Neodiprion lecontei: one gene and its partners. The protein of the gene in region 1 interacts with the protein of each later gene in a pairwise test. Links are inferred from orthologs where the notes say so. Each region holds a gene or a part of one and is shown on either strand. Other genes may lie near its edges.

Region 1 (4,945 bases):
ATTTATTAAATCAAAGTTCAAACTGATACTATATTCTAATGACTAGCTGTTGGTTTGGCCATGCATATCAGCCGGAGCTGAGTAAAAGAGGAGAGTGGGAGGAAAGGGGATGAGAATCAATACTGGGCCTACACTTCCCTCATGTAGCTATGCTCATCACTTTTTGGTAACAATTTTTTTTCTCTACAATCAAGACAAGAATACTGCAGCAAGAATTGCTCATGGATCCTTGATGAAAAGAACAATATTTCTCAAAAATGTGAACTATTCGTAATTACATGAAAAAAAAGTAGAACAATCGAATCAAAATACAATGCATCGTTCTGCATTTACAAGTTTCCTAGTATGAATAGTATTCGGTTTTTGGAAGAAAACGAGATAATGAACCAACAAATGTTGATGATTTATAACCAGATGTTGAGTAAAAAATTGAACTTACCAGTAGAGCTATTGATCAGCTGGAGAATAAGTGGTCTTCTTGTTACAATGCCTGATCCTCTTGGCAAGAAATCTCTGTGAAAAAAACATATACGTTAACATATGATTGCTAAGATCAATACATTAAAGGTAATTTTATTGCAGAATTTTATTCTTAAAAAACGCTCCGCAGGCTTATTCTCTATCTTTGAAGTAACGCATACCCACAGAAATATTTGCGGTTCTATCGGAAAGAGCTAATGGGTAGTTTGATTCTACAATAACGTTATTCGTATTTTGAAATTTCGACGTTGTTTATCTATTGTCATGACAGATTTGAACACACAGGTAACAGATAGGCACGATTCCCTATTTTTTTAGTTATTTTAGCTGCAATTATTTTGTCGGGATGAATTCTGCGATTACGTAGCTGCAAGGTTGGAGAATAAGCCCCCAGGTCTTTAGGTAAAATAAAATTCTTTTTTTATGGTTAGATTAAAACTTAGTTCAGAGTTCTGGTTTGATGAATTATATCTTGACAAAAGATTCTTTGTGGTGGCAAAAACAATTCGAGTTGACTGTAACATGTGCGTGTGCTTAGAAGAGACAAGTGAATCCTCTTTTTTACTCACGCAGTATGAATCATTGGGCTAACTGCTGTGACATTCTTTGCTAAATGAATGAAAATTGCATTTAGCAAAGTTCACGGTAGCTGCAATTGTGTTTTAATTTCGTATGCAGAGATGAACAATAACACGAGGCTCGAATATTTTCAAAAAGCACTTCGTAACGGGAAATACTTGTGTTACAGCTTCTTTATACAATTACTCTAAAGTAGAGTGATAATTCTTCACCAATAACAAAATTTCTACAAAAATTTGGGTGAAAGAAGCATTTGGCAATCTTAAATTTTGGAAAATATTGAAATATGACGCTGTATTGATCTGTTAGGAAAATTGCAAATGCCAATATAGGGTGATTCTTTATCTGGGCTCGTATCAGTCTTATTTATTTACTGTGGAAATAATTATTCTTCACAAAGCACAATTTCTTTCAATAAGCGTTTATGTATGAATCGTTAACGAAAGACTGATTAGAAAATCGATATTCAATAAAGTAATTCTACATTACAAAAAACAACTGTATAGTTTGAAATACACAATCAAGCAAAGTAGAAACTAATTTGAAGTTATCATTGATTCATGACTCCACTTACGAAGACACCTTTGTTTGAGAATGATCCAATTTTTATTGAATTTATGCTACATCGACAAATCTTTAATCAGAAAGACAATTGACTAGCAAAAAATTTCAAGAAATCTTATGGCATGGATAATATATCGTGGAAAATCGTAAAAATTGTAACCAAATTTGGGCACTGAGATAAAATTCGGAAAAGAGACCCAAGAAAATTTTTTTCTTTTTGTAGATTTATTTTTCTGCACATGTCAGCACTGTTGAGTCTAATTTTTTTCCAATCAATATACAATTTGAAAGTGGTCTTGAGGTTGGATCTTTCTTCATCGGTGTCGCATGTCGTTTATTTGTTCAATTGTTTGCCATTTTTACATCTAGCTCTTTTTCTTTTGTTACCGTACAAAAGTCGCGTGTTTCTCAAGCCAACTTTCATTTGGAATAACGGGTGAAAGATAGCGTGAAAACAGGCTGACTCATATTATCAATTGTTAGATCATCGGGACGATTGAGACTTTAGAATAGAGAATTAGAGTCTGGACTAAATATTCGCGAAGGAACTTGATACAGGGTGTCACTCGAGGCGAGTGGGCGACCGGGGAATTTCGTTATTGACCCTGGCGACCCGTACGTTTGAAATTTCCCAACTGTCAAACGCGTTGACGTATCGTTAATTCCCAGCATCGACGGTATTATTATATTGACGGGACGTTTAAGGTCGGCTTGGTAATTTGCCACGCCTTGCGTTGTATCGGAGCAAATAGGTTAAGAATAACGATAAAAAAAATTAGCATGGATTCGTCGATAATTTCGGGGCGTTGATGGATGGAAGGATCGAACTTACCTGCCGACAAAATTTTCCAGAACGGAACTCTTGCCAGCACTTTGTCCGCCCACAACAGCGATCTGTGGCAGGTCGAGTTGCATGTGCACTCCGAGCTGAGTGAACGCATCTTGAAGCTTATTTACAATTGGTATCAACTGTTCCATTCCCGTATTGCCTGACATTTTGGTTAATTTTAAGTTATCGTCGGCACTTCCTCGAGCAACAAGAGCTATTCAACGACACTGGAAAACAGAATAAAAGCGTATCAGCACGGAGCCGCGACCACCACCTCCGTCCGACAGGGTAGCAGTAGAGCGGTCAGAACTGTCTCTCACACTGCTCGTCTCTCTCTCGATAGAGCAAAATGGCTGGGCCCACGATATTCCTTGAGCCGATTCGAACTCCGAACCCGAGTGTTTTCACCGCATTTTTAATACCCGGAGCCCGATTCTGCGAGCGAGAAACGCGCGTTTCAGCAAAGTTCCGTAAGAAAACGGACAGAACAGCAACACTGCGAGTGCCCTACGCCGCGATCACGCAAATGAGATCCAGCATCAAGATTCTGGACGTTAACGTTATAATCGATAATCGAAGCTTGCGCAGTGCCGCCGAGTTTCTGACCCAGTTTTAGAAACGGAAAGAAAATCTATACAGATAACGACGTAGTGAATAGCGTTTCGTTGACAGGGGTATTTACCAGCGTTAAAAGACACGTTTTATACAGTTTTTCAATCAAACAGTTATCCACAAAATTACCCGGAGTCGGTGAAATTTTTAATTAATAAATATGATATTTTTTAAGCAGCGCGCTCTTTCTTCCGGAATATATAGCGATAAGCCAGTCACAAGTACCCTGTTCCACAGATAGGTGACAGGGCAGACCCGCTATTTCCGCGACATTACGAATCCAAAATGTCAGACATCGATAAATGGATTGATATTGCAAAAGAGTGCAAATACCTACCAGAAAATGACCTCAAGGTAATGAGCGCATTTCATTGACGATAAATAAATATTTACTGCTCGTATAATCTCTCGCCGTACTTTCGAAATACCAATTTTCATGAAAATATTTTAGGTTACATTTCCCGAAGTATTATCTTTGAATAATTTAACTTGTACTTTTACCTGTTTATACAGAAATTGTGTGACATGGTTTGCGATTTGCTCCTCGAAGAATCCAATATCCAGCCAGTATCGACTCCAGTAACCGTATGCGGTGATATTCACGGACAGGTGAGCTACTGCGACCCAATATAACCTCAAAACTTTAGGGCAGTACTTGTTGATGCATATCCCATAATATTTGTGCGTCTTTCATGTCAGTTCTACGACCTGGAGGAGTTGTTTCGGAGCGGAGGCCCAGTACCTGATACAAATTACATATTTATGGGAGATTTTGTCGATAGAGGATATTACAGCTTAGAAACATTTACCCGTCTGCTAACACTAAAGGCCAAATGGTCAGACAGGATAACGCTATTACGAGGAAATCATGAATCGCGCCAAATCACACAAGTTTATGGATTTTACGGTAACCATGTGCTCTTCTATTTACCATTGTAGGATCCAGTAATCTCAGAGCTTTGGCTATACGTTAGGATGGATCTGAAGCCCAAAATATAATTAGCAAGTTTTCACGCTGCGAGCATGCGGTTGATTTTCGTTTTAGTATCTGTTTGATTTGCTTTTCTTTCAAGCCTTACGCTTCTTTCGCTACTGGAAGGAAATCACATAATGTTTACATGCAAAATTTAGTTTGACGAGCATGGGAGTTAAATGTCAGCTTTATAAGTTATTCAGGTTGCCTGCCCCCAAACTTTTTTGGAATTTGACTCCAGAATTCTCTTTCCTTCACAGATGAGTGTCACAATAAGTATGGAAATGCAAATGCGTGGAAGTACTGCTGCAGAGTATTCGATCTTCTTACAGTAGCTGCTGTGAGTATATTTATACATTAATGCACCATGATTTTCAGTACAAAAGTAGTAAAAACTGAAAATACTAGATACGTAATAATTTATTTCAACGAAATTTTTTCTTCTAGTTAATTGACGAACAAGTGCTCTGTGTTCATGGTGGTTTGTCACCAGCTATTAGGACTCTAGATCAAATTAGGACAATTGAAAGAAATCAAGAAATCCCACATAAAGGTATGAACAACTATAAATCAAGTCTATCGTATAACAATTTGAGTAAATATTATATCCATCAAAAATATTATGTAATGATTAGGAACGCTATCCTGAAAACTTCCAGTAAGCATTAAGTTACTCAGCTTTGCACTTTTGAAACTGGTGGGTGAAGTTCGTTGCCGAAATCTTGTCAAAGCTCATGGAATGCCAACATTTAAATAAATTTATAAACACAAAAGTGTACTGCTTTCCTCTATATAAGAAAAGTTTTGGTTCGATTGCCTGCCAAATTTGACTGTCAGTTTCAACTTCGTATGTGGCCAACTCGATTGATATTTTCTCATTCTTTATTTACTTGCAGGTGCTTTCTGTG
Region 2 (7,866 bases), on another chromosome or scaffold:
AGCGCAGCTTGATCGCCAGGAGTCGCAGTGCATTATGTTTCTCACCAAATTTTTCAATCGATCGATTACTAACTATTGTTCACTATTTTCACTATTTTCACTAGTATCACTATTTTCGCGAAAACAGTCAGAGCAAATTTTATGCGAGAGAAAAATAAAACCCGCAGGGCATAATAAAAATGACGGCAAAAATCGTCCTCGAGTAGGTAAAAGTTTAAACGAATATAGAAATTGTAATATAATACAAGTTTATTAAAGATCGATTCGTTCGCATAACAACATGGAACAATCTTCATCCAAATGACATATGACATACAATTTATAAAATTAATTGTGTATAGTGTTTTTGAGTTTACAGATGTTTATAAATATTATATACATATACAAAATGCTTCACTGTTTCGATACATAATTTACACATATATGTGCGAGAAGATAAATTCGTATTGACATAATTTTACAGTCCATCTAATTATTATCGCCACGAACATGGAATTTTACACAATAAATTTTTCGCATCAAATTATTTGGTCAATTTTGATGTTACGATGAACTTTTGTGAAATCGAAATCGAATCTTGGTTACTATATTTTCAACTAATAATGTGATTTTGAACCACTCCGATTACCGCATATCACAGTTTCTATCTTTCATTATATTAATATTTTATTTCAGACCTTCTCAATTCATTGACTGTGTGAATAATGCGGAAAATAATTTTTTCACTAAAACTTGGAATATTTGTTACGCGTCGTATAAATCAATTTTCAAGAATCGGTTATTCCCTCCGATAGAAAAATTGTTAATTTTGGATCTCCCAAAATCGTAAAATAAAAAAAAAATAAAAAAAAAATAAAAAAATAATAATAATAATAATAATAAATACTAGTAATATGCACAAGGTAATGTATATTCCAGATGAAATATTCGTACCTACGAATATAAATATATAAATATAATATACGGATAAGTATACCTATTTATACGGATTACGATTTTCCAGTTAGAATTTGGTTTTTGAAGAGAAAATTATACAATAAGAATAATAATAATAATAATAATAATATTAATAACATTGATAATCGTTACTCGTGCGATACTGAAATAAATATCATACCGACCTCGTGTTGTAAATTGTCAAAATTTCAATTGTAAAAGGTATTTGTATATGTATATACGCGGACACACGGGCGCACTAATACGATGATACATAACATACACACTAGAATGGTTCTTGAAAAACTAATTTATGAATTTCGAATGTCTCAACCACCGAATCGGCTCCAAAGGATTCAAAAATAATTCCCAAATTTTTTCAGATTTTGAAATCTTTAAATTTCGAGTCATCATACGTAATCAGCGATCCAAGAAACCCTCCTCCATCAAATTTCATCAAAATCTGTTTGGCAGTTTTACTGTTCCCTTGAAAAGGGTTAAATGGGAAAATCGACTCTCTGGCGGCGCAGGTTAAAGTTGAGATAAAACTCTGAAACAATTAGAGAATCGTTGGTGAATTATTTGGAGCCAATTTAGGAGGTGAGACCGTCGCAGTTCAAAAATAATTTTTTTTAATGACCACCCTAGCCACACACACACACACACACACACACAAAAGATGCCATAGATTAAATGATTCATTAACTTTGAACGTCAAAGTTGGAGCACCTTTCGAATATAATCAATAATTATATCCGAAATATTGATTTAACGAAAGGTAAACAAGAATGCAATTGAAGGATCAAGGAAAAAAAAAAAATCACCCATAAGCGTAAGTTCTATATAAATGCTATTTGACGTAAATGCATTCAATTTATCATATCAAAATATTCAACATCGAAAAGTTGTACATATATACAACACGTTATGTTGTTTTACGAAGTTTTGGCCCCTGTAGCAATTGGACGAATCGGGGTAAAAAAAAAAAAAAGGTGAATATACTAAACTATACAAGTACCGATGTTAGCAACGTACGATTACAGTCGGATAGATTTAGCTAATTATTTACAGGTCAACAATCATTCATAACGCATGTAACGGCAAGTGACGTATAGGAATCTATAATAACAAGGTAAGCATTTTATTTTTTAGATACTTTTTACTCTCTCACATGCTTTCCAGACGCGTAACTCACCGAACGTTAAATGTAACGATGGAAAAAGTTTCGAAATCGTTATTAGAATTTGTATAAATTTATTAGTACGGACATGACGAAATTAAATTTTTCCCCATTTTGACGAGTCCGACAAAAAGCGAATGAACAAAAGTTCAACTAGTACGAGAGAAATGAATCGTGTTATTGCTTATGCGTACAGAGATTATGAGCGTTAGTACCTCTTGCTGTTCAATTTAATTTTCAACCGTCGTAAGCATTCAACGCTTCCTGCAATTTGTTGACAATTTTTTTATAAAAAGCGATCTGCTCGGTTAGATGATTTTTCATAGCTTGTTTGATGTGGACCTCGCGTTCCATTTGAAAATGTGTTTCCTCTGCCATCAGAGCTCTGGCTATTACGTCGGTTCGATGCGAAAGTTCTCGTAATTGTTGCGGCTCCATTTTATGCTCGCTGACTAGCCTCTCCGAATCCTTTCGCTTCTGTACGGCGCTCTGTGTGATGACGTTATCAAGAATTACCAAAATTCGAGTAACAAAAGGAAGAAAAAGAGGAAAAACTTGACTCCTAACTCACCTTGTGTATGCTAATAACGTCGGGGAAACTGCTAATTATTCCTCTATAAATATGAAATTTATCGCCAAGCGGTTCCCAGTCAAATTTCGGTTGTTCCTCGTACAATTTTCCAATTTCGTTGTAAGCATCTCCCGTTACTTTTAAAGCGGAATTCAGTATACCTCTACTATTATCGTCGGCGTCAAGAGCAAAACCTAAGGATGTAAAAGACTGGGCAATTTTCTGAAATTCTCTCTTGTACAAAACCTGGTGTTTCTTTGACTGGTCAACAGCCATTGCCATAAAGTTTTTAACGACCGGATCAAGTCCGTTGATAAATTTGGCAAAAGCGTCATTCTCTATGTCGACTTTAACCGGATCCAAAGGTGTGTCCGGACACTGAAGTACGTTGAAGTAATTCACTCCCAACAGTTCGTCTTTTTCCGCCTGCCGTTTTCCAGCCTTCCATCGTTTCTCGTCTGTGCAAGTCATAAAATGTTCCCATACTCGACTGCGACATAAAACCGGATGTCTACAAACGTAATCGACAAATTCTTGAAGCTGAGTTCTACGATGCTCTATAAACTGTTCCTCGTAACGACCGGATATTTGTTTATCCGGCAATGGCGGTATTGGAATAAAGCAGTATTTTTCTTCCAGTCTTTCGTGTAACCAATCGAAGTGCTTGTATCTCCTCGACACTTGTATATTGTTAAACTGCAATTGAAACGAAAGTTTATTTTCCCTTCAGGTTTGTCAATTTTTTTTTTTTTTTTTTTCCACTGTTATCCCAATGAATGTAACTTGAATTGAGCTTTTTTAGCACCACAAAATTTCGAGAAAAATAATAAAATGCCCCAAGTGTTGTTGTAGTAAAATAAATAAATAAATAAATAAATAAATAAATAAATACATAAATAAATTACGCAAAGTCCAACTTGCTACCAATACTGAAATTTTTTCTGTAACCAAACGAAAGTGATCCATAATATTGGAGACAAAAAATTTGACCATACATTCATATCGAACAAATTAGCTTTCGTACCGTCGGTGTCAACTGGTAAACAATGAAGCTTTTGAGTCCCTTGAGCTTAGACTCTTTCTTAGGTGAAGTAACGACGCAATTGTACGTATCTATAGCCGGCACCCACACACATCGTCTCTCTTCATTTTCCTCTATAAACACTCTCTCGTTATCAGGTACAACGACTATTTTTGTTCCCATTAAAAAACTGTCTTCCCCCGACTTGATGAGGGTTGAAAATTTTGTATTCTTTTTAGGGACGTTAGATATCGGTCTTTCCGATATGACTGAGTGAACCGTATGCGTTGAAATTGAATCCGCGTAATCCGGATATACCGGTTGCGACGACGGTTGTACAGCCTGTTGTAGATGATGCTGTTGTTGATTGACAGGAGCTGGCGTATCGTGACCAGCTTCCGAGTCATCGTCCCAATCGTCATCCCAATAATCCCCCGTACCCTGTTGCGACGACGTTGTACTGCCTGAAATAATTTGTACCAAATCTTCATACGCTACATTTTCCTTTTGAATTCACGTACTCTATATTTCATCCCCATAAACGACGCTCAGTTAATGCGAATGTCATAGTTATTTAAATCAAGTTCTCAGTGCGGTTATTTCAGACAAAGAGAGAATAACCAACTCGACTGCTTCGCGTGATACTTTCGTGATAACGACTGGTATGGAATTACAAGCCACAATGACACAGCTGCCGAGAATTTATCAGAAAAATATTTCAATCGACAGAAGCATTACTAAAGGCATTTTATCAGATAATCCAATTTAAACTTTCAATCAACACCGACATGCGGAATGTGAAACAACTATTTAGAATACAATTTACTCAGAAACTAAATGAATAACATGGTGGAATTTGTTCTCGGAAATAAATTCCCTGACCTTCCTTGAACAGTTGTTCAATTTTCCCTGACTCAAGTTCTTATTGTCTTCGATAGTTCTACGAATCCCCAATTCTTCGTTTCAGTTCAATATAAATTCATCAGGAAATTCAACAACGTCAAGAAAAATCACATGAAAACACATCGAAATATATATATCATACATATATGTATCATACATGCTGTGCGGTTCTGTTTATAACTCTGAAAAGTTTCACTTCTGTCATGTGTGATTGCCATACATGTTTTGAAATAATGAACGAAATTAAGAATTTTTTAATTTCCTTTCGTGCCATTTATTAGATGTTTGGTCATCTTTTTTTGACCACTGAACAAATTTGAAATTCCCCGTCATTTCCATGATTCCCAGACCAACTTTTTTCCCCTGACATTTCCCGGTTTTCCCTGACCGTGGCCACCATGAATAAGTATTTCAAACGAATTAATACTGTATGACCAAAGAATGATTCATCAGTTTCTTCGTTCACAATGCTTTGAATTGTACATCCCACCAACATTTTAAATCATGGTTTATGTTCAACTTTAGTAATTTGCAACAGTTGATCGCAATCCAGTCAAACTTTTGATAACATTGCCTCAACTTTTACACATTTCAACTGTTCTAAATCGATTCAAGTCAATTTGTTGCGAGTAGAGTACATGTTTTGTACCTGTCATAGGAGGCGCGGAAGCATTGGGATCAACAGGCTGTACATAAGCAGCCGGAAAGAGTCCAGACTTTCCACTCTGATTAACGCCCTCGCACCATCCATCTCCAACGTTAGCTCTGATGACGGTTAAAATTTGGCCAGCATTGATGGAGAGCTCGGCAGTCCCTGGCTCTCCAGTAAAGTCATACAGGGCTTGTACCTACGCGGGATAATTGCACAAATAAAGAAAAGCAGCATTTGAATAATTGTGTTTTTACAATGCTAGGAAAATATGAATCGAAACGACAATGGAAGCGATAGATGTAAAAAGAACAATCGAAACAAGTGGATTAGTGAATGACAAAGAGTAGAAAATTTACTGCATTGCTTTCTTTTGAATGTTGTTCAAACCACAATTATCGAGATTAACAATGTGTTAGAAAGAAAGAGAGAAAAATCTAGAACAAAATATCCTTTTTGTAATCTTTGTGAAACAAAAACGAACAGATGAGCACAATGAGTCATAGAGGCAAGGATTAATCCGGTTATTCATAGTACGAACAGAGTGCAGTATGTTGCATGTGTGTGCATTTCACTTTCTCTGCTTCCTTAGTCTTTTTTTTCTTAATCCAAATACTCACCTGATGACCCTCCATGTTGCTAGTGTCACCAGAACCTCTTAAACGTCAGTTGAAACGAGTTGATAAAATGTTTTCGCGGCGTTTTTTATTCGCCAGACCGATTATATCAGTCGCACTTTGCCAACATGACTATCTAATCTAATGACAATTCGATCATCGTAACGTGTCGCGACGTTGGTTGGCTCACGGTTCACTTGTAATCAACTTGTTTTACGGAGATGGTATGTATACTTACCTATAACTGCTCCCACTCAACTATATGTATAAGTACATACACACATACGTATATGCAATGTGATACGTGTATTATTACGCATGCTTGCCTACCCGAAACTATATAAACACATCAAGACGTGACAATAACACCCTCCGCTGAGTGGCGCTGATGTGCCGGCGGTCGATTTCTCAAATTGTGAAAATATATTTGGAAAAATATTATTTCGTCTTAGTCTTAATTCAAATTATTCAATCACTTGCATTGGCAATTTCACTCTCACACGTAATACTAAAATCTTTTCCTAACGAGGACTAATCACGCGAGTATTTCAGGCATGTGAGCTTTTGCCCAACCATGAACTAAATAAACTTTTCTTCAACCACGAATTATAGAAGCATTCAAGAACGGGCTCATCGCGGGGATGCCCAAAATTCCAGGTAGTCTCGGAACGAAGCTATATTAAGGCCGTATTCGAAAATTGACTGACAGTACTGTCAGCAATCTTTCATCTCTTTTGCGCTGCCGAGTTCATGGAAAGCTCTGTTTCTGTCCTAGGGAATTTTCAGTACTGGCAGTCAATTTACAAACACGGCCCAAGTCCACGCGCATAAGGCGTTATGAAACTTTACAAGTAATTGTTTTGTAGTTTGAACAATTGCGGACAAATGCGGGAATCGTGTTGTTAATGCAATTTCCGGCCCCTGTACTTTTGATAACAGTATCGGTGAAAAGAAGGAGATAGCATCGTGAATAAGCAATCAAACTTACTCAACTTTTTTTTAATAGTGTTATTACACAATTTTAGGCCTATTATTCAATATACTAAGAGAATATCTTGGAAGTTAACACTCGGTCAACGCCGACTCGGCACCACTCACGTTCATCATCTGTTTTTCGCAGGCTGGCCATCCCATATTCAATTTTAAACTGCGAAAGACCAAAAAATAATTGCATCGACGACGACGACGATTATGTTTTCGTTTTATGTATGGGGCATTTCCTGTCAAATCGTCCATGAATTTGAGTTTTTGATTCCATGGAAATTTTTATGGGTGATCACACCTAATGTGATGAGGTTTAAGGAATTTTTTCGATTTTCGGCCTTTCGCAGTTTAAAATTGAATATGGGATGGCCAGCCTGCAAAAAAACAGACGAAGAACGTGAGTGGTGCCGAGTCGGCGGTGACCGAGTGTTAACTTTCAAGATATCCTCACAGTATGATCGTATTAACATTCTATGAAATTCGTTAAAATTTCACGAGGTTGAAGGTAGTATCGTTATGGTAACGAAACGTTGAGAAAAAATGACTATTTTCTCATTTTTAGTGATTTTGAGGGAACTAGGATTAAAAAATATGAGAATATTTCGTTTTATTACGGTTTGCTGAATTTTGAACAGTTCGAAAATTACGAAATAACGGTTTTTCCTCAACATGAATCGTTGCAGTAACGTTACTAACTTCAACATGATAAAATTTCAACCGTCAGGTTTCACTCTTTTGTTTTACTGAACTAGTCAAGCAACATTCGGCTGATAATGGCTGCCAGTTACAGTTTTATACTATCCATAAAATCAACCCGCATAGAGCACGATTACTAAGAGAAGATATATAAATTCCAAATTTCGGTCGCTCAAAAGTGTAAAATATGAGACGGGTGATTTAATATATTATAGACGGGAGGCTTTAGGATATTAGCAATAAGATTAAAAGAATCACATGCGAGACTCACCCATCGCCAGATTGTCCATGGAAACGTTAGCTGACCCC
Region 3 (7,901 bases), on another chromosome or scaffold:
ATATAATCATATATATCTATATATATATATAATATATACCATATTATCGTGAACAAGCGACGAATTTATGTTCAATTTCTATCTGCCTGTTTGCAACTCAACAGTCAAGCAAATCATCAACTATTTGTTGCCATCAGTGTTGAAATAGTTTGTAGGTTCGTTTTTGCTATTTTGTTCTTAAAGTAACGTGGTTCTTTTATATGAATTAAAATCTTTTTATACAGTAGATAACTATTTCTTTAAAAGCATTGCTTGTCAACGGCTTTAATATATGCCACAAATTATTGTGTGTAGTTCAATTATGTACAATATTTATTATCATCACGAGGAATCTATACTTTGGATTGGTGAGATATAGAAAGCGTCAAATACTGAATTTCACTAGCGTTCTCATATTTTATTACCTTTCAATTACCGAAGATATATAATTTTTAGTTTATCGAAAATTCTTATGCCTTACTGATTCATTGGAATGCAATTCTGAGTAGGGTTATGAAGAAATTATACTACTTTTATTTTGAGGTCCTTTTTACTTTCTTTTTGAAGATCAGAACAATCACACCAATTGTATTTGAAATTTTGTTATTTTTCTCGATTTTTGACAATTTCTACATGAACCAATCACAATCCCTCAGCATTTGGCAATGTCTCCCAAGTACTCTAACTTGAGACAAATCGCGCCAAATTTTGGCTACCACAGCTATGTATTTTATTTCCAAATGATCTATAGTCAAAATGCAACGATTGTAGAAAAGTTTAGACCAGTCTCTAGAATCACAGTTTCTCTAATCTAGGGCAGATTAAAAGTAAAAGGTAAAGAGTATAAGTTGAAAAGATTTGAAATAACATGATTTTGAGCAAATAACAAGAAATAATTTTTCAAAAATATCTTATGTGGTAAAGATGCAGAAATTCTTACAGTCCTCGGACTATTATGTAAGAATTAATCCCATGATTTTGTATGCATATGTATTTTAGTATAAAAAATACGATAATTATACGTGCAAGAAAAAATATTTCTATCCAGACCTTTCAGCACCATCAAAGGCACAGTAAAATAGAAGAGTTGTTCAATTCCACTCACCTTGCATAAGGACTATAGAGTTTCTGATGTATATAATTAACTATTAATATGATGAAATATTTATACAACATTAAAGTTTGGTTCTTAAAAGTGCATTACACTCTGGTGCAGTTTGACTTCATTCTGAAAATATGAAAAAAAAAGTAAGACGCTTAGCACATAATAAATTCACTATTTGAACATTTTTCAGAAGATCTTAGAAATTTCAAACATGATAGATTAAAAATTAAAAACTGATTTACCAGTTCTCGTTTTAAAGCAACTGCAACTGGTCATTCCTGACCAAAGCCCTCTGTTTCTTCGATCGCATAGTTCAGCTTCTCCACCATTTGATCATAACTTTTATAGGGCGGAAGATCCAGCCTGTTGAAACACGTATGTGACCTCGGTAACCAAGTATCTTTACCCACCTTTTCTATGCAAAATCTTTGTGGTCCATTGCTCCCTGAAATGAATAATGTTCTCTATCAATTTCAAGGATTCGATAACACTGCAGTGTTGCTATTTTACATTCATTCAGCTGATTAAAACATTTTTCACAACATACCCATCAATTCGGCAAATCCACCAACTGGTACACGACATGTTCCTGTGACGAACTGTAGCAGTCTAGCTCGTTTTTCGCTGTCAGTTGTCCGTACAAACTGAAAAGATTTAATTTACAATAATCGTAAAAATTGAGGTAATTTCAGTTTCCTTAATAATTTATCGTTTCAAAGTACCTGCCAAAACCATAGTACTTGTTTACTGCTGCGCGTGTAGTGCCTGTAAATAGCGTTGCGTTGCCAGTCATCGACATCTATTTCTTGCATGCCACAGAGCATGAGCTCGAGTTCTCGCTCATCGAAATATTTTAGCCATTCTAGAGGCACAACCTCATTAAATCCTTCGAGGAAAGCTTTAGTTTGTTCCTCGATACCTCTCGTCATTCGCCATTCTGTCATCAGTCTGGAAATGCGAGCATTTTATTTTTATTATTATTTATTATTCTTATATTTTATTATTTCTTTACATGTATGTGTGTAGCAAAAGGTGTAATGCGATAACTTTACCTCATATACTCTTCCTTATTTTCTTCAACAACTCGAATTTTATCACCACCATCTTTAAGTTCATGATGTATGACTTGACCAAGAATCTCGAAATCGACGCTGTAATACAATTCGAGACCGCAATCATCTATGTTATTATCTTTTATCCATACAAGTGAATTGTAAAATTCCGGATCTATAGACTCAATATCCTTCATGATCAATTTCTTATTCAACATTCGTTTGTAAAAAGGCATTGTGAATCCACTGTAGATAAAACGTCCATGGTAAAGAGCCTGGTAATGCAAAAAATGGGGAAAATTGATTAAAGATCTTGATTACTTGTTCTCGTAATTCAAAATATATTAATAATCCTAACATACCATTGCAATGAACCTGCCGATGAATTTGAAATACTGTAGGTGGTCTGGATTCACGTACGATGCCGGATTTATTTGTAAACTGTAGTTGCTTTTGTTTGCATACTCAAAGAGACAATACATTGGATTCAATACCTCATGACTCAGTAAGAAAAACCATTCCCTGTTATGAGGAAAAAGATCCAATCATTAAACATGGAATAATATTTAAATTGGTTGAAAATTGATTAACCATAATTTTTTACCTTGATACTCCGCCATAGTCTAAGCCCTCTTCACCCTTGAATATAATGTACAATCGTCGTCTGAGCTCATAAGCCGGCAGTCTCATGATTTGGTGATAAGAATCTTCGAACAAAGTTTGTCGGGTAACGCTGATCTTTATATGACTAGGAAGAGCATTACTGTGGCATAAATATCTGAATTGTGATAATTTCCAGCGAAAAGATCGCTCATATGCCTTTGGAACCCCATAGACACCCTTCGGCCTGTAAAGAAGGTGACCAAAATATGTATTATGGTACTTGGAGTAATTTAGACTCAATTTACGATTAAACCGAAATTCTCAAAACTTTCACATACCCTTTCGGCGCTCCTGGTCTTGGATCTTGGAATGTTGTAGTTCTCGAATTATGGTCCACAAAATACCGGACTCCATCTTCAGTTAATCTAATCTCCCATCCATCAGGTAAGGGTGGTTCGTCCATTCCTGTTTCTTGTCCTTGCGTTCTTGGATCCTCCCATTGAGTTGTTCGATTTTTATGATTCACATAGTAAACTCTGCCTTCGGGCTGTTTGCGTCTCTCCCAACCAGCTGGCAGGGGCCCTAGAGCATCATCTTCTTCAACGACTGCCGTTGAAAGACCAGCCACTGCTGCTTGTCCACCATGAGCCTTTAAAAAAATGTGCAGAAGATAAGAATAAAAAGATTTTTGGTTGTTCTGAAAAAAAATTCATCTTCAATGACGAAATTTTCTCCAATTTTTTCAGTTGGTGATCACCTGAGGGTAGAGGAATCTTTGATTTCCTTGTTGGACAACATGTTGCCGTTCTCCCTGCCAGTGCTGGAAATGCTGTAGCCTCTCTGTGTTGGGGCGTTGCCAAGTAGTACTTCTTGTATTGTGATCTACATAATAAATTCTCCCTCGAGGATCCCTTCGTACTTCCCAGCCTGGTGGGAGTGGCTGTGGCCTTTCCCAGGATGTACTGCGAGTGTTGTGATCTACATAATACCTGGAACGATAAAAAACTAAAAAAACTGAAATAGTTCGTCAATCTTCAAATTTATAGCAGTATATTTCTCTTTAGATACTCAATGATTCAGATATTCTGTACAAGAATGGTTGTAAAATCGCCAGAAACAAACGAACCTTTTTAATTAAATGACAATCCATAATTTACCTTCTGCCATAGACGTCATATCTCATTTCCCAACCAGCAGGCAAAGGTTCTTCAGGCTGATTACCATTTTCAGTCTCCCCGGGTACTCCAGATGGTCCAGCAGATGCTGGTTGACCCAGTGGGGGCCCTGTTGATCCACTGCTACTTTCAGTAGCCAAATGATTACCAACTCCATTAGCCATAGGAGAGGTAAGGCCAACAATTTGAGCATTGTTGGTATTATTACTGGGTTGACTTGCAGTGTGACTAGGATTGTGAAGAATGTTGGTTGAACTTCGATGCATAACTGGCTGCATGACGGAAGGTGCTGCATTCTCTGATCCGTGTAATCGCATGCGAGCTCTCACACCACCATTTAGAATACTTCGATTGTTCCCAGAGTCACTGTTTGAAGAACCTAGAAATAAAAAATGTTCGATCAACATTTCAGCTAATGCGAAAAAATATCTCTGAGATTTAAGGCCTTACCAAGTGGCGTCAGGGCACCGCTTGTAACTTGATTGTGGCGAACTTGTTCGCAGGAATTAGAGGGTATGACTTCGTTCATATCAATTTTTAGTCCGTCAAATAATGTTACCAACTCTCCAACCTTTGATAGTGGACCATAAGCATCGTGTTTATTTTCGCTCATTAAATCCAAAGTTAATTCAACATTATCCAATTTTCCATTGTAGTAGGACAAAACTTGAAACAAATTAATTCTCTTTTCACCAATCAATGCATCCCTACGAAAGGTGCTGTGATCCAAGAGTCTAAAATGCAGCTGGGAGTAAGGTGTTACAAGAATGGTAAACTTTTCCACCCATTTTGGCTGATATGTGGATTTTGCAATCTCAGTTTTGCGAGGACTCTTGTCATCAACTGAGAGTTCAACGTAAGGATTAGGTTTCAGAAATGACGAATTGCGCAATACGGCTGCTTCAACTGAAATGAAAATTAATATATCTTGGAAATCAACATGTTTTTAAGATAAGTAGATGAGGTAGAACTTGATCATAGTGGATGCAAAATTTAAAAAACTATTATCATTTACTAGTGATGCTAAGCTGATGAAACCCTGGAGTTGCAGCTTCCACTTCGCACTGTGACATGGTTTGCCTTTAGATGTGATTCACCAAAATAATCTTGAAATACCATTCATATTAAAACTCAGCTTTCAGAGTATTGTATAACTGAAAAATAAAAAAGAACATTTAGTATAATGTGTAGAATTTACTTAAAATCATTGAAAACAATAGGTTCAAGGGATCTAGGAATATTTTCTGTGAATCAGATTCTCTGGTGTAAGGTAAATATAAATGATCAATCTGTAAATATTTCTATTTTCGTGATTCAGAAAGCTTATAATTCAGCTTATCACGGATCCAGCTGTTACTCAGCAAAACTGACTAAACTATATGTTAGAAGAATACTTTCTTTTCCTGTCTTATTATTTGCTGACTAAAAAATTGGTCAAAAATTGCTTAGATCGTTTGTTAGTTGGCAAAGTGAGAGAACTTTAAATATTTGTAGCCAATAGAATACAGATTGAGGTTTGCGCAGTAAGACTATAGAACAAAAAAACAAAGACGATTACAATTCATTTAATAAATTAGGTGCAGATAGAAATTAAGTTGCGTAGAGGAAAGAATGAAGTACGTAACAGATCAGCAAAATTTGTAAATGTTGTCGCTATCAATTGATTGATCATGTGAGAAGATAATTAACAAAAATAAAATTCATAAAAAACAAAGGTGTGAATTGTTGAGGAATCAATATAACGAACTGTAAATGGAATACTATTTTACAAGCAACAAATTAAGAAATGTAAACTGACTATTTGGTAACAATGGGAGTATTACATTAGACTAGGAAATGAGGTACAGAAAAATGAAACGAAAATTATGAGTAATATACGGGACATTAATCTTGACGTTTCGCGAATGGTTGATTCATCATACATTGCAGATAGGTTTTGACGTTTCAACTATAAGGATACAAACCTATATAGTATTGAACAAATTTCTGAGGCGCGTGCAGTCTTGAAACATCGCTCGCTCGGTATCGTCGATTATAAGACACAAAAACTGAGTTGAAAAACACTCGGAGGATTCGTTATCATGATATTTCACTATCTGACGTCAGCCATCTTGCTGTCCGTCAGATCTAAAAGTGAGTAGTACGAAATTGAGATAAATAAATTGTTTAACAAATCGGGAATGGATTAATAATTTTTATACGGATACGTAAATTTGGTAACGTCATGATTTGTGCGGTTTATTTTTTTTCATTATTACAGAGTGTATTCAAAAGGAACAGGGGTCTAGAATTTCCTCGTTTTTTAGCGTAATTGTAAAACATAAGCAACTCACATGAGCTGCGTAGTTCCCACTCCGTGGTTTCAGACGTTTTAAGCATTTAAAGACCCAATATCCTAATGGAAGTGTGATATTTTCCGTGTAGCGTGGCCACATGTAAAGCTCCCATTGGAAACTGGGAAAAATGAAGGCTGACGCAAAAGTGGAGTATCTGATTGTCGATACTAGTGCATTTATTAGAAACGCAGCTATACAGGTATGATAAATAATAAATAAAGTACAGTTGTCCACTCACCTGCGTACACTCAATTACATTGCACTAGCTCGAATTAGGTTATGCCATCTTCGTTACCTAATTAGTAATGCGTTTTCTCGTACTCTTCTTTTTTTATCATAACTTAAACCGATAAGATTATGATTACTTGATATCGTATCACTTTTCAGCTCAAAATTCTCATATCATGATAAAAACTCATCTCCCAATTTTTCGTAACAGGATATCGCTGCCAACGTTATAACTCCTCAAGATGTTGTTAATGAAATAACCAACAAGCGGCAGCTCAGAAGACTCGTTGTTTTACCTTACGACTTGATTATTAAAGATGTCTTTCCAGAGAACATTCATTTTGGTGAGAGAAATAAACAATCAGCCTACTTGTATTCATTATTTCTTCACGTGGCTTTTTTCACGCCTCCGTGTCTTTCCATGTCTCTATCTATAGCTCTTTCCATGTCTATATGCGATACTCCAAACATGCCAAATGATATGGCTAGAGCATTTTGTAATCAAGTCCTATATGAATCATCATATTTCACTACTATCTGCAACTACAATACACATATGATGTATGTATGTAGAAACAATCGTGCCAATACCTGTTATTTTGCAAAAAATACAATAGTGTGCAAATAGATATGGCCTTCTTGTTTACACTTGGCATTATTTACATCATTCAGTTGTGGCTTTGTCAGTCATATCACTATTATTCGTACGTATGTCCCATAGTTACCGAATTTTCTAAAAAGACTGGAGACTACCGCAGTCTTTCGGCAACTGATATTAAGGTGATTGCCTTAACTTATCAGCTTGAGAAAGAAAAAGTTGGAACTCAACACTTGAAGGATGTACCTATAACACCTGTAAAGCCCGATATCAGCATCAATCTCCCAGATAATTACTCGCATAATGTGGCTGGATTTTTTTTACCTGACAATGATGTAAGCAATACAGGGAATAAATAAAATTAACTTACAACAAGCACTTTCAATTGGCGAAACTTTTGGTTTCATGTTGTACCAATGCTTTTTTATCTCATTTAGAAACAAGGTACTGAAAAAGAAACTGTGGAACACTGCACTTTTAACCAAAACGAAGACACAAAAGAACTAGATTTGCATAATAATTTGAACACGGTAATCTTGCTGAAAAATGGAAGCGCAGATTCTACCTCTGAATCGGACGATTTGTCAGAATACTCATCAATTTCTGATTATGAGACAGCAACCTCCGACTTAGAAAACATAGAGAAAGATAGTTTACCTGATAAATTTTCTGCTTTGAAATGCAATCCAGAAGATTTGGAATTGGATAATGGCAAAGACGTTGACGATATTCTTCCAGCTGAAAATTGTGAAGAGTTTACTGATGAGGACCAAGAAATTGAAGAGAGTGAAAGTGAAGATGACAACGATGAGGGTTGGATTACAC

The links.
Region 2: the proteins of dynamin (region 1) and sorting nexin lst-4 interact in a two-hybrid assay, tested with the Caenorhabditis elegans proteins (2 studies listed by BioGRID). The link is inferred for Neodiprion lecontei from reciprocal best matches to the Caenorhabditis elegans genes dyn-1 and lst-4.
Region 3: the proteins of dynamin (region 1) and E3 ubiquitin-protein ligase Su(dx) interact in binary tests that used the Caenorhabditis elegans proteins (3 or more experiments, as listed by UniProt). The link is inferred for Neodiprion lecontei from reciprocal best matches to the Caenorhabditis elegans genes dyn-1 and wwp-1.

What each region holds. Positions count from the first base shown.
Region 1 is NC_060262.1:30,901,749-30,906,693, forward strand, and holds the start of dynamin, read right to left. Parts: upstream 3,010-4,945; 5' UTR 2,620-3,009; coding exon 2,456-2,619; intron 514-2,455; coding exon 440-513; intron 1-439. Other genes in the region: serine/threonine-protein phosphatase 6 catalytic subunit, read left to right, coding at 3,350-3,418, 3,578-3,673, 3,764-3,971, 4,298-4,377, 4,485-4,590, 4,934-4,945.
Region 2 is NC_060264.1:30,688,152-30,696,017, reverse strand, and holds sorting nexin lst-4, read right to left. Parts: upstream 6,018-7,866; 5' UTR 5,896-6,017; coding exon 5,881-5,895; intron 5,460-5,880; coding exon 5,261-5,459; intron 4,173-5,260; coding exon 3,712-4,172; intron 3,384-3,711; coding exon 2,688-3,383; intron 2,606-2,687; coding exon 2,354-2,605; 3' UTR 2,332-2,353; exon of another isoform or gene 1,487-2,331; 3' UTR 65-1,486; downstream 1-64. UniProt on the Caenorhabditis elegans protein: Involved in the signaling of vulval development by acting as a negative regulator of epidermal growth factor receptor (EGFR) signaling. Aids in phagosomal membrane tubule formation which is required for phagosomal fusion with endosomes and lysosomes.
Region 3 is NC_060261.1:34,762,935-34,770,835, reverse strand, and holds the start of E3 ubiquitin-protein ligase Su(dx), read right to left. Parts: upstream 6,018-7,901; 5' UTR 5,879-6,017; intron 5,069-5,878; 5' UTR 4,988-5,068; coding exon 4,930-4,987; intron 4,821-4,929; coding exon 4,365-4,820; intron 4,294-4,364; coding exon 3,897-4,293; intron 3,729-3,896; coding exon 3,497-3,728; intron 3,389-3,496; coding exon 3,078-3,388; intron 2,984-3,077; coding exon 2,741-2,983; intron 2,659-2,740; coding exon 2,499-2,658; intron 2,412-2,498; coding exon 2,137-2,411; intron 2,033-2,136; coding exon 1,807-2,032; intron 1,729-1,806; coding exon 1,632-1,728; intron 1,530-1,631; coding exon 1,357-1,529; 3' UTR 1,327-1,356; intron 1,208-1,326; 3' UTR 1-1,207. Other genes in the region: RNA-binding protein NOB1, read left to right, coding at 6,378-6,449, 6,690-6,822, 7,200-7,411, 7,514-7,901. UniProt on the Caenorhabditis elegans protein: E3 ubiquitin-protein ligase which accepts ubiquitin from an E2 ubiquitin-conjugating enzyme in the form of a thioester and then directly transfers the ubiquitin to targeted substrates. Ubiquitinates klf-1.